2 linked regions of the Rhinolophus ferrumequinum genome follow. The protein of the gene in region 1 interacts with the protein of each later gene in a pairwise test. Links are inferred from orthologs where the notes say so. Each region holds a gene or a part of one and is shown on either strand. Other genes may lie near its edges.

Region 1 (7,436 bases):
GCCCCCCGACCTCTGGCCTGCTCTTTCTCACTCCTCTTTCAGGACTCCACTCAGACAGTTCTAGGAGGCCTTTCCTGATCCAAACTCAAGTTGGGTGCCCTTCTGATCTGCTCTCACAGCCCATCACACATCCCATGGTAAACCATAATATATCCTATTTTAACGCCTGACTATCTGATTATTTCTCTGTCAATTCTGGGGATGCTGCAGAGGACATATTTGTCTTGTTTGCTGTTCTATTCCAAGAGCTACACACAGGGACTGGTAGACAGTCAAAAATATATTTTCTAAATGAATCTACAAATGAATATATAACACCTCCCTCCGCCCCCAAAAAAATTGTGACAAGAAGAAATGAGAGAATTGTGCCCCAGTTCTCAAAGGCAGGGATTGTACTTTAGTCACATCTGTCTCCTAAATCACTCAGCCTACGATAGAAAGAAATACTTAGTAAGGAGGTCTATTTGTACACCTCTTGCATTCTCTATGTCTATTTTTCTCATGTTCTCTCTTGATACTCACTAAAGTCGTTGTGAGAGTTGTATTCTGGCTCAGCTGACTAAGAGGAATCAAGGGAAAGAAAGGTTTGTGCCCAAGCTAAGGACAGAAAATTAAAAGGGAAACAGCACACTCTGGAGGCTGCCATGGGGTAGGCAGCTGTAACTGAAGAATGAGGGAGACAGAAGATGAAAGGACACTTGGCAATATGTCAATCAAAAGTCTCATTGTCTAGTACACATGAGAAAAAATGGCCTCTGTATCAATGGAACCCATCAGAACAGCCATCCACAGACCCTAAACTTGCCTACTGGTGACGATGATGACATCCTCTGCAATGCTAGACATCTCCTTGATGGTCAAGTAGCACATCCGACGGAGGGTGGGCTGGGAAAGAGATAGGAAACATCCTATAACCTTTAGCCCAGTATGAGGGTCAGGGTGAGGAAAAGAAAACTCCAGAAGATGTAAAGGCAGTCCACACTGACTGGTGGGGTCACTTTCCCTTGGTGCTCCTACCACCCTGTCATAGCTATCCCCTCTCAAGGAAAGCTGGGGTTGGGGCACTTACATCGCTGGATTGAAAGAGCTTGGTCATGGCAAAAAAGGCTTCTGTTGCTTCAGTGGTCCCCAGATGCTCCCCCTATTTTAACCAAGAAAAAAGTTTCAATTTTGAACAGATGGTCCAGAAGGTTCTTCCTGCTGGATCATCCCAGGCCAAATCCTCAGATCCTGGCTGCTGGTTACAACCACACAGCAGCTGTTGAATCGCCTAAGGGCTGTTTGACTTTCTCCCCCCTACCCGCAACATCCCCCAACACCATTTCTCCACCCCTCAACCTGACCCTGTTACCTGGTTTATGAGGTAAAGAATCTTGGTGAGGATGTGGGCACATTTCCGAGGGTTGATGGGAGTTTCATTAAATACACGGGCCTAAGAAGAAGGGACCAAGGATATTATCTTCTAGCCCAATTTATTTCCCTTCCATTGACTGCCCTCAAGCTCATTCAAGGGCTGGGAAGTCCCAGGGTAAATAAATACACTTGCTTAGACAAGCTTATTTTCCTAAGAAAATAGTTTTTTCCTTTGATTTATTAATAACTGCTGAAATCTTCCTTAAATTTAAATATCAGTTAAGAATGTACTGACTTATTGACTAAAAGATAATTATTAAATGCTTGTTAACTAGAAAGAGAAATGAAGAACCACTACAAAAATGTAAGCACGATGAACTCTCTCCAGGAACAAAGCTTTCCTGTCTTTCCAGAAACAGGTTTTCTCTCCTATTATTCTTTAAACCAGAACTTTCTTCTTTAAACCAGAACTTTCAATGTGTTAGTATTAAAACTGCATCGATAGTAAACATTATGATGAAAGATGGAGGGGAGCAAATGATACTTGCCTCCTGGAGTACTGCACTCTTCTCAAGGTGCTGGAATGGATTGGAGCCTCCACCTGCGGTTGGAGAGCAGAAAAGACTGAGTGAGTATAAGTTGTGACCCTGAATCTCAAAACTCTCCCATAGAGAAGGGACAGGTGTCCCTATTGTCTACCTAGTCAAGTCTAAACTCAGAATGGCAACCACAACCTGCATATAGATCCTATCCCTCTCCTGCAAGGGGGCGCCCTCTACCATAAAGCACTTAAGTCACCCAACAGCCCTGGCACGGTCCTTTTTTGCCTTTCATGGTGTCATGTCTTGCATTCCTTTATGCAAAAGGTAGTTAAACCGAGTCCCTACTACTGCATAGGGACCACCACCTCCTAGCGATTAGTACTTCTTCACAGCAGATGTCACATTTGTAATTAACTACATGTGCTACTATTTGGTTGCTGTCTGTCTCCTCCATTATACCTGTGACTATTCTACTATTCCAAGCTTAGGCACTGAGTGTCTCACTTGTCCTCCTGCAGTATCAGGACACTGCAGTAAGTGCTGGACACATGCCAATTCCTGGCAGGTAGTAAGTGCTCAGTACATATTCGCTGAATAAATGAACGAGTCAAGGTTCTCAGCTCCAAGACATGAGCTCCACAGAAAATACCCCAGTTTGGCCAGCACCAACACATCCCCGGCGAATCCCAAGAGGTCAGACTGGAAAGTAATAAAGGAGCACCTGCTACTCCCCGTACAGATGGAGAAGCTAAGGCGCTGAGAGGCGCGTGACCTGCCCCATGGTCACCCAGCGAATCGCGGTCCGAGCTTAAGAAAGGAGGACAGTGGCTCGGGCTCTCCGAGGCCTGCCACTGACCAGCTGCGGACCTTTGCACAAGACCCTGCCTCTCACTGGGCCTCGACCTCGGGTGAGGACAGAAATCCCAAAAGAGGGCTCCTAGGAAGGGTGCTGACAGCCTGCACGATGGTCCAGCCTGACCCAGGCCTAGGCTCTCTCACCCGATTCCTCGTCTTTCTTGTCGAATTTCTTCAGCATGGTCGTTCCAGCGGGGTCGCAAAGCAGCAGCCCTGTGCTGGACTTCCGTGGCTAGCTCAGTCTGGTGACAGTTCCGTCTAAGCCACTTCCGGCTGGCCACGTCGCACCGCGCTCTGCGCAGGCGCACTCCGCGCTTTGCGCAAGCGCATATTCCGGCTGGGGAGGTCCCGTCTGGAGTTAACCCTGTCCCCGCCGGGGTAGGTCCGGAGGCCGGGGATAGGCGGACGTGGAGGCCTTGGGGGACTGCCGAGGCCTTAGACTCAGGACTGACCGGCACCCCAGCTTTGCGCCTTACTCCCTCCTTATCTGTGCAATGGGAGTAGTAGTCGTCTTTGCCTCATTGCGTTGTGCCGTGAGTTTAAACGGCTTTTGGAAGTGAGGGCCCTAGTACACTGTCCCGCAATAGACCCCAATTAATGTTGCCAGTTCTTACTATTGTCACCTTATCAGGGAGGCCTCACTAGCCACTCCTCACTCTACCCTGGCCTGATGTTTCTCCCTAGTTCGAATCACCATCTAACACACTATTTTCACTATATTGCTTTTACTGTCTTTTATTCACTGGCCTGCATAATGTTGGCATGTAGTAGGTGCTCAGTAAATTCTTGTTGAATGAATTAATGCATGAACTTGCTCTTATAATTCATGTCTGCTCCTGGTGCAGATTGTTTTGTACTTTAAGGGATCTAACTAAAGTGAAAGATCAGCATGGAAAAAGTTCAATGTGCTTTTAAAATACTTTGGGTATTTATCAAGGGCCTACTAGATACGCCCAGCGCTGGGGGCGGGAAAGCATGGGAAGGGGAAAATGAAACACCACTCAGGGTTTGTCTTCCTGGGGACTTGGGCAGGACACCTTGAGGCCAAGGTAAGGACAGTGAGAACCGACGTGCCAAATTGCACTGGTTGTGGCAAAGCTGAGTCAGGATAGCCGTGCGCTGCGACGCGTAGCACCAACTTGCCTCGGGAGGAGGCAGCCCCGAGACCTGCGGGGAGGAGGAGGCCTGCTGAGCATCTGGAGCAGAGGCCCGCAGGTGACGAAGGTAAGGGTGACAGCAGAGCAGAAGAAAAGGGTATGTGGGGGGAGGGGCCAGCCTTTAGGGTCATGCTTTGCTGAGTGAGGCTGGGGCCTAGCAGGAAGCAGGGGAGGCGGAGAGCAGATGTTGCGCCAAGGTGAAATTGCCACGAGCCAAAAAGATGTTCAAAATCTTGAATCAGTAACCAGCCCCCAGACCTGCGGGGAGGAGAAGGAGGCTTTCTCCTTCTCCTTACCCGGAGGAAACCCCACCCCTTATCCGGAGGAAATCATACAAAAGAAGAAAATAAAGTTGCCTACTGCAGCAGTTTGCAGCAAGAAAATTGGAAACATCCAAAATGTCCAACAATAAGGGGATAATTTATGGGAATTATGGTACAGCCATCGGATGAAATATTCTGTCCCTTTTATAAAGGAGTATTTCTTTTCTGTTTATTTGGTTTTTATTTTTTAAATTATAGTTGGCATTCAACATGTTAGTTTTAAGTGTACACGTAGTGAATAGACAAAGGGATATTTCTAATGTCTTGGGAGGCAATATGCAAACTTCTTATAATAAACGAGACATTAAAAAAGAAAAGCATGGTGTAAAAGTGTTCATAATTAAGATGAAGTAAGTATGCCTCATGGTTAAAAACCAGAAAAGAACCCTGGAAATTTATATTGCTGTGTTAAGAACGTGATATACAGATAAATTGCGTTGAATTAAAATAGCCTTTTGTGTTATGATATTAGTTCTATAAAACTATATATGAAGGGCAATTTTTGTAATGAAATTACAATGAGAATTGTGGGTTGTAACTCCAGCTCTAAGTATGGGTTTACATATAATCGTAGGGTTTTTATTATTTTTAAAAGTAATATAATTCTTCATAATTGCTAAGTCCTTTGTAGAAACACAGAATACTGAAAGCACAAGAGAGAAACTAGGGAAATCTTAATAACATTGGTAGATTATACCAATATCAATATCCTAGCTGTGATATTATTTTTATTAATTTTACTGCATTTTAAAAATTGAGACAAAATCTATATACTTTAAAATTCACCCTTTTAAAGTGTACAATTCAGTGCTTTTCAGTATATTCAAAAGATTGTGTTCTCTTTACCACTAATTCCAGAATATTTTCATCATAAGAAATCCATATCCATTAGCATTCATTCTCCATTCCTCACACCCCTCCCTAGTTCCCCCCTCCAACCTATTTTGTGTCTACTTTTAATTAATTAATCTACTTTGTGTCTCTATGGATTTACCTATTCTAGATATTTCATATAAATTGAATCACACAATATGTGGCCTTTTGTGTGTCTGGCTTCTTTCACTTACACAATGTTTTCAAGGTGCATCCATGCCGTAGAATGAATCAGTGCTTCAGTCTTTTTAATTGCTGGATAATATTACATTTTATGGATATACATTTTTTAAGTCCTTTTTTGTTACAAAAAAATTTAATAGTTAGACATTTACAACCCTCACAAAGTGATAACGGCCCCCAATCTACTACCCCTCTGACATCGAATATAGCTGTTACAATTCCACTGACTATATTCCCAATGTTGTATTCCACCTCCCATGACCATATATACCCCGTTTCTCCGAAAATAAGACCTAACCTTACAGTCAGCTCTAATGTGTCTTTTGGAGCAAACATTAATAATATAAGACCCGGTGTTATATAAGACCTAGTCTTACTGTACAATAAGGCCGGGTCTTATATTAATGTTTGCTCCAAAAGACGCATTAGCGCTGATTGTCCGGTTAGGTCTTATTTTGGGGGAAACATGGTATATATATTTAATTATAGTTGACATTCAATAGTATTCAACTTCAGCTTCAGGTATATAGCACAGTGGTCAGGTATCTACACAGTCTGTGAAGTACAGTGCCTATCTGGCAACCTACATAATCTTGACAACATTATTGATTATATTCCCCAAACTGTATTTCGTATCACCGTGGCTATATTGTGACTACTAATTAGTACTTTCTAATCCCTTTACTTTCTCCCCCAGAGTCCCAACACCCCTCCAATTTAGCAACCATCAGATTTTTTTTCCCTATATGTCTGAGTCTATTTCTGTTTTGTGTGTTCGTTTAATCTGTTCTTTAGAGTCCACATATAAGTGAGATCATATGGTATTTGTCTTTCTCTGTCTGACTTATTTCACTCTAGGTTCATCCATGTCGTTGCAAATGGTAAGATTTCATTCTTCTTTATGGCCGAGTAATACTGCATTGTATAAATGTACCACGGTTTCTTTATCCAGTCGTCTATCGATGGGCATTTCTGTTGTTTCCATATCTTGGCTATTGTGAATAGTGCTGCAATAAACATAGGGGTGCACATATTTTTTTGAATTAGTGTTTTGAATTTCTTTGGTTAGATACCCAGGAGTGGAATTTCTGGGTCATAAAGTAGTTCCATTTTCAGTTTTTTGAGGTACCTCCATACTGGTTTTCGTAGTGGCTGCATCAATCTGCAATCCCCACAACAGTACATGAGGGTTCCCTTTTCTCCACATCCTCGCCAGCACTTGCTGTTTGTTGATTTATTGATGATAGCCATTCTGACCGGGGTGAGGTGGTAACTCATTATGGTTTTTATTTGCATTTCTCTAATTATTAGTGACATTGAGCATTTTTTTCATATGTCTCTTGGCCATCTGTACATCCTCTTTTTTTTTTTTTTAAAGATTTTATTGGGGAAGGGGAACAGGACTTTATTGGGGAACAGTGTGTACTTCCAGGCCTGTTTTCCAAGTCAAGTTGTTGTCCTTTCAATCTTAGTTGTGGAGGGCGCAGCTCAATTCCAGGTCCAGTTGCTGTTGCTAGTTGTAGGGGGCGCAGCCCACCATCCCTTGCGGGAGTCAAGGAATCAAACTGGCAACTTGTGGTTGAGAGGACACGCTCCAACCAACTGAGCCATCCAGGAGCTCAGCGGCAGCTCAGCTCAAGGTGCCATGTTCAATCTTAGTTGCAGGGGCAGAGCCCACCATCCCTTGCGGGACTCGAGGAATTGAACTGGCAGCCTTGTGGTTGAGAGCCCACTGGCCCATGTGGGAACTGAACCATCAGCCTTCTGAGTTAGGAGCATGGAGCTCTAACCGCCTGAGCCACCGGGCCGGCCCCTGTACATCCTCTTTAGAGAAAAGTCTCTTCATGTCCTCTGCCCATTTTTTAATTGGGTTGCTTGGTTTTTTTTGGTATGAGTTTTTTATAAATTTTGAATATTAACCCCTTATCAGATGTATCATTGACAAATATCTTCTCCCATTCAGTAGGATACCTTTTTATTTTGTTGATGGTTTCCTTTGCTGTAGAAAAGCTTTTTAGTTTGATGTAATCCCACATGTTTATTTTTTCTTTTGCTTCCCTTGCCCAAGGGGATATATCAGTAAAAATATTACTAAGGGTAATGTCTGTAAATTTGCTTCCTATATTTTCTTCTAGGAGTTTTATGGTTTT
Region 2 (7,176 bases), on another chromosome or scaffold:
TAATTCAAGAAAGAAATGTGACCCATAATAAAGTACCGAAATAAAGAGAACCGATTGGTATTTAGAAATACCCAGTCAGATCAAATTTCGATTGATGGTTCTTCTTGACCGCCTCTAGCTTACCCTTCCCTTCTCAATATTCTATGGCTGGGTGCCTTGTAGAGGTGAGGATAGAAGAATATGCTCTGATCAGATTTCCCCAGAGGTCCAGCCAAACCAGGAAATAAAAATGTGAAAGGAGGAAGCCTAAAAGAACTTTAGAAGGTGTCTCCCTTTCTAAGGAATGGCTTGTTAAATACTATCCAGGTACACTAAACTCTTTAGTTCAGTACAGAGCTAAGGTAAGGTCCAGGGATTCTTTACATTTTTCATAATGAACATGGCAACCTAAGACTCATGCGATACTCCTGAGTAGACAGAAGAGGGGAAGAGATTAAAAGGAACAGTGAGGAAGAGTAATTCTGAATCAGATAGAGCTAAATTTTGTGGGCTAGTATGTGAGGGTAGTGAGCAGAGAAAGAAAAACTTAGAAAATATCACCTGATTCTCAACTAGGATTCTACATCTGAACCACTGAATACTGATAATTATTGAAGTGACTATTTTCTCACTTCTCCCAAAGACGGAACAAAACTAGTGCCATTGCGGTTACAGAGGACAGAAATTGGTTCATTACATACAATGAATACCTTAAGTCATTAGGGCTTAATTCTTTCCTGGAACTCCAGTTGAGAAGAGCTGGAATGATGAGAAAGGTATATAAATTCGTAATTAGGAGCCCAAAATATTGAAATTGTAAAGAGAATAAAATGTGGGAAAGAGCTGACACGGAGGAAGGGAAATACTAGTTTAATATTCTAAGAACGCTGGAGACACCAGCATAAGAATTGATACCTGTTGGTACTTTGTCCCCAACAAAAGCTTTATATAACTGATGGTCAAAAGTACAGTTTTGTATATTAAAGAAGTGGAAGCCGACGATGAGATAACAGAGACAACTGGTATGGGATTAGGAATCAAAATCTAATCTAGTTTTGACATTATACTTCCTTGAGCAAGCCCTTTTCCCTATACCTTGGTTTGTCCCCACTATATAAGTTTGTCATGACAAAGAATCAGTATGGTTTTTAAAGCAAAGTTCAGGGGTACCTGACCGGTTAGCATGGCTCTGTGAATGCTGCATCTTAGGTACAGATTAAAATGGATATAAAAAAGCAGCAGGTTGAAATACACTTCACTGAGGAAGCAGAGACAGAGAACCTGGGTTTAACAGAAAATGTGAAAGACTTTCACGTATAACTGCCTCAATTCACCACTACACACAGATCTCTGGTTAAAACAGCTCCCTAAGTATCATCTCCCTCACTGCTTTCTTTACCTGTAAACAGGCTCCTTTCTAAAGAAGAGATTGCTTCTCTTAACGAAATGCAGGGGGCCAGGCACCAGCAAGGAAGCAGTCTAAAAATTTCCAAAAACTTCAAAAGAAACCAATTCCCCTGAACTTATCTCAGTCTGTTAACTGCTTAAGAATACTGTTCAAGTGCGTGGTACAGAAAATATCTTATTAAAAAGTACTCCGTTTTAAGCTTTCTATAATATCTAGGCTTGACCAACCCATATGATGAGAAGGAATTATCTCTATCTTTGCCATTTTCAAAGAGGGGAACTGAAATCTGTTATTCTCTTTTACCTGATGAGGATCTGAATGTGTACATGTATTAGAATTGAAGGAAAGACAAAGACAAAAAAGAGGCTGTGCAGACAGAGCCAGGAGAGCAGTTTCCAGGCTCCCGGCCTCACGTGGAAAGGTGCTGGCTCAGGTAGTAGATGGCCATCAGCTGTGACTAGTTGGCCATCAGCTGTTACCGGTTAGCCATTAGCCACTGATATAACTGCTGTGGCTAAGCTAACAAGCGCAGATTGCGGATTGCAGTTAACAAGTGAGGTTGGCTGGCAGAGAAGCGGACGGCGGGTTGCACATGGTGTGGATCCTGCTTCCTGTGTCTCCAACCCAGCCGCCATGGAGAATATAGTGCTATGACTCCCCTATCTATGGCTCCGTTGGTGTTCCTTTTTGGTCTCACCATATCCTGCGTTCTTGGGCTGGGAGCGGGAACTGAGACCCCGCATGACACCCTGCATGACAGAGGCCTTGAGTTCAACTCAAGTAAAGAAGGAAGTGGGAACTAAATTCCTACACGCAGATCTCTGTTAACATCTCCCCTAGTTGCAAAACAGGTACTTCTGAGAGAAATGCTGTGGTCCAGGTCTAAAGAAGGAATAATAGTGCTTTATTTGTTTGAACAAGCTAAAAGGATCATATGGACAAGGGAGCTAATACACCCCTTTAAACACCAAAATTCTCCTCTCTCTCTCTCACCAGAGAGAGTTAGCATCCCAGATCCTACAATAAGAATTCCTAAAGTTTAAATGGGTAGGGAAAAGGAGACCAGAATAAGGAGTCTGAAAAAATATTCCACAATCCATGCTAACTCCATCAAGCATTCCAGAACATTGATGGAATACTGATTCTTTCTTTATCATGACACATCTATATAAAAGGGATTAACAGGAAACCAAGCAAAAAGAATAGTTTTCTGAAAGAATGTGACGGGGAATTATCAATGGAGTATCAAACTGTGACAACCAACAGGAGAAGCCTGTGATGACAAACACCTGCACTCCATTCTTACAATTTGGGGCGAGTTTGGAGAAACTCAAATCAGAATATCATCCACAATGCTCAGAATCGGGGGAACCTGAAGGACCTCAATCCAGTAGGCTTATGATCCTATGCGTCCCAAGGACCCCGTGTGCTCCCTTCAACTTTCCACCGACTCTGCCCTCTTCTCCGACTGTGCCCTACTCTAAACCGAGGTTCTAGCTCCTGCACTAGGCCACACCCTTATTCCAGGGGCCGGCAGAACCTTCGGTCCCGGAGGATTACCCGGAACTCCCGTATCTACCCACTTCCAGTCAGGTTGAACCCCGACTCCCGACCCCTCTAACACCGTAGCATCTCGATTGCCCCGGCTCCTACCAAAATCAGCGCCTCCATCTTGCCCCGCAGCTGGTGCCGACGTGGAGCCGCAAAAAGAACGCGGCCGCTGATTGGCCCTACGTCCTCGTTCGACCCCGCCCAGGATGGGGATTATTGGACTACGGGGTGCCAGCTATTGCTCTATTGACCAATCAGAGTGCTAGTTTGCTTTGCGGAAGCAAGGTCTCCAGCCAGAAGGCGCAGGTATTTGATTGTCAGTTTAAACACTCAATAAAACGCCAAAATCTCACGACTGAATGGGGCGGGAGAGTCAATGGGGCGGGGTTGTTTCCATGGGGAACAGAGGAAGCGAATATTAATTTTCAATTGGCAGGGCGGGGAGCACGTGATATCGTAAGCCTGGGTTAGCCACTTTAATCCGCACTCCCTTTAGGGGGCGCTATGTCTCCTTAACGTTTAACACTGGCAGCTCTTGGCAGAATCCTACCCTAATCCGCATTCCAAGAACTCCGATTAGGTCCCTGATGTTCACGGTTGCTTTGGCAAACACTGCTAGTTCTTCCTCAGACTCGCTCAGATCACTTGAGCATCCTCGCAGAAAGTCTGCCCAACCATAGAATAAAGCCAAGGGATGCCCAAGGTGTTAACTAGATAAACCAAAGTCTCCAGAAAGTTGATTGCTACAGTAACAATCTTCCCAAGGTGGAGTCCCAGGGAATGACCCACTGAGTTTCTAAAAGCAGATTTCTTTGGCCGCAAGTAAACTGGGATGTTAAGAGTTTTGGAAACCAGAGAGGAGAGAGTAGGAGGGACAGAGGGGTAAAGGGTCCAGGATAAGGAAGGGTATGGGGAGCAGGGTCTGCGGTCGTTCAGTAAGGACAAGCCGTTGCAAAATGAGAAAAGAGAAGTTTACTGAATGCAGGGATTTCACAATAGGGAAGGGTTCTGATGAAGTTTAGCTTTCCCCTACCCCTCTGTTCCTTGGTCCCTTACCTCCCCTTAGGTCAAGGACACCTTCTATTGCCTTGTGTTATCCCCAAAGGGATTTTGTTTTTTCTGTCTCTGACATTATTTCTTTAGAAGCTCTCCCAAGACGCTCTCCCATGATTCAGAAGCTCTCCCATGATTCAAACGTAATCATGAGTTTTTCTAATAATTTCAGAGTAGAGTCAGAGGGCCTAAGAGAAAAGTATAACAATACAAAACAAACTACAGAGCTGACATTTGCTCTAAAGGAAGGTATATGATTTTCTGGTAAAATCCGAGGTGACAAGGCTCATATCTTGAAGAAGCCTTTATCTATTCCAAATGGGGAGATACTCAAACATTTAGCTTTATGCCTGGCATCACAAGATTGTCCTTGGCTTGGCAGCTTAATGATAATACTAACATTTATTGACAATTTACTATGGGCCAGACACATGCTAAATCTTTGGATTTATTATTTAATATTTTTAAAAACCCTTATGATGGGACTGGTGGAACTGGGAGCAATTACATAATTTACTTAAGGCCATACAAGTATTCACTGGCAGCCATACATTTGAGCATAGGAGGTCTGGTTCTAAAACCATGTGCTTACTTACAATCCTATGCATGCTAAGGATTCCCATGTTCTTACCCACAATCCACTCTGACTTGTGGTACAGCCTCTCTTGTATCCTACCTAGTCCTACCTGAAGTACCCTACACCAGATGTTCTATAGGGACCATGAGGAGAAAAATATGTGGTGTGGCTGGTTTGGGGGAGGGGGTTAGCTCCTCTTTCTTTGTGTACTGACAAATCTTAACATTCAGACATTGTTCCAGAAGAGGGTTGATTCTTAGCTCTCCAACCTATTGCGTAACTGCAGTGGGGGGAAAACAATTAACTGAATGGGAGACATTAGTTCTTGTTTTGACTTTGCCTTAACAAGTGAGAGAATTTTGACAAGTACCAATACCCTCTCCAGACTACAGCTGCCACTTCTCGAAAATGGGGAGTCTCAGACCAGAGCTTTCTAGGGCCCTACCTCCTTACCCAGCATTAAAGTTCTATGATCATTCTTGTTTCATTTGCTTCCATCTCACCTTCAGCTGGAAAACCTTTAAGAACCAATCAAATGAAAAATACATATGTTCCCTCAACCATATGTATACACACACACTCACACGTAGTTAACCCTTTAATAGCACGGGTTTGAACTGAGTGGGTCCACTGATATGTGTTTTTTTAAATAAATACTGTAAATGTATTTTCTCTGATGATTTTTTTAATAACATATTCTTTCTCTAGCTTATTTATTGTAAGAATACAATATATAATACATATAACATACAAAATATTTGTTAATCAAGTGTTTATGTTATCTGTAAGGCTTCCGATCAACAGTTGGCTGTTAGTAATTTAAGTTTTGGGGGAGTCAAAGTTATACATAGATTTTCAACCGCATGAGGTATTGGTCAGCCCCTAATCCCAGTGTAGTTCAAGGATCGACCGTGTGTGTGTGTGTGTGTGTGTGTGTGTTATTGTGTGGAGGAAAAGACTGGAAGGACATACCCAAAAATGTAACCAGTGGCTAGTTCAAAGTGCTAGGACTTTTTTCAATGTTTTCATATTTTCTAGGTGTTCTAAAATGCATGGGTGCTATTTTAAAAGGAGAAAAACAAGCTATTTTTTAAAGGACAAAATCAACATCTTCTCCCCATGAATACTTCCCTGATATGCCCAGGTAGATTTGGACACTTCCTCATTTCTGCCATCATCGACTCTGGTTATAGTCATGTTTTAATACATCAATCTAACTCATCAGACTTGTCATCTGAGGCAGTGCTTTGTCCCTTTCATTTTATTTACTTAGCATCTAGCCCTCAAATAGTAAATACTCAAGTAGTGTTTGCTGAATAGAATGAATATTTGTGAAAATGCAAGATACAAAGATAAATGAGCAGTGTCGAAGTGCAGTTTAGGATTAAATGCCAAATAAAGGGTACAGATATTGAGAGGAAGTGATCCCTGGGGATTTGGGTGGGAGAGTCAAGATCCAGGAGAAGGGCTGTTGAGTTTGGCCTTGATTTATTCATGCATTGATGAAATGACTGGTAGGGTTTGGTATGAATAAAGGAATGGAGTCTGGGATGTGCAAGAAATATTTTTCTTTTTTTTAATTGTAAAATGTTTTTACTTACTTTTATATGTAACATAAAGTTTATACCATTTTAACCAATTCTAAGTGTACAGTTCAGTGACATTCAGCATATTCACATTGTTATACAGCCATCACCACTATCAATCTCCAGAACTTTTCATCATCCCAAACTGAAATTGTATACCCATTAAATAAACAATAACTCCCCATTCTCCCCTGCCCCCTAGACTTTGGTAACCACTATTCTACTTCCTGTCTCTTAATTTGACTATTTTAGTACCTTATATAAGTGGAATCATATATTTGTCCTTTTGTATTTGGTTTATTTCACTTAACACAATGTCTTCAGTGTTGTGTAATGTAAGAAATCTTTGAGGGATTGGTTTCATGGGACAGAGGATAAATAAAGAAATAGTATGGAAGGGGATGGAGATAAAACTGGAAAGGTACTTTGTGGCCAGATGGTGAAATGCATTGAATACAAATGTAGGTAACTGCTGTAGTGGGACCAGATGATGGTGGGAGTTGGAAGTGTTACTCTCTTTTGGAAAGTATTATGGCAGTTCCTGTAATATTAAACATGGGTACATCCTTTCCTAGAGAATTACAAACACAATCCAGTACATAATGACACATACATAAGAGTGCTTATTGCAACATTGTTTATAATGGCAAAAAATAACATTGTCTATCAAAGGGAGAATAGTTGAATAAATTATTGTATATCCAGACTGTGGAATAACAATGCAATAAATTTAAAAAGTATGCTAGAGGTATATGCATTAACTTGGAGAAATGGTAATGAAATGTTAAATGACAAGAGTAAGTTAAAGAGGAATTTATGTGGTATGATTCCATTTTTTCATTAAAAATATAAGGCTAATTATGAATAACTATGTTTGAAATGTTTCTATTCTGTTCATTCATTCATTCATTCATTCATTCTGCAAATATTTATTAAATGCTAGCCATGGGCTAGCCACTCCCTCTAAGCAGTGGATATATAAAAACAGTGAACAATACAAATACGTATCATTGCCCTCATAG

What was found.
Region 2: the proteins of COPG1 (region 1) and COPZ1 interact in a two-hybrid assay, tested with the Homo sapiens proteins (2 studies listed by BioGRID). The link is inferred for Rhinolophus ferrumequinum from reciprocal best matches to the Homo sapiens genes COPG1 and COPZ1.

What each region holds. Positions count from the first base shown.
Region 1 is NC_046302.1:368,794-376,229, reverse strand, and holds the start of COPG1 (coatomer subunit gamma-1), read right to left. Parts: upstream 3,044-7,436; 5' UTR 2,932-3,043; coding exon 2,895-2,931; intron 1,955-2,894; coding exon 1,902-1,954; intron 1,433-1,901; coding exon 1,352-1,432; intron 1,142-1,351; coding exon 1,070-1,141; intron 886-1,069; coding exon 806-885; intron 1-805. UniProt on the Homo sapiens protein: The coatomer is a cytosolic protein complex that binds to dilysine motifs and reversibly associates with Golgi non-clathrin-coated vesicles, which further mediate biosynthetic protein transport from the ER, via the Golgi up to the trans Golgi network.
Region 2 is NC_046293.1:54,056,294-54,063,469, reverse strand, and holds the start of COPZ1 (coatomer subunit zeta-1), read right to left. Parts: upstream 3,098-7,176; 5' UTR 3,059-3,097; coding exon of another isoform or gene 3,041-3,058; intron 1-3,040. UniProt on the Homo sapiens protein: The coatomer is a cytosolic protein complex that binds to dilysine motifs and reversibly associates with Golgi non-clathrin-coated vesicles, which further mediate biosynthetic protein transport from the ER, via the Golgi up to the trans Golgi network.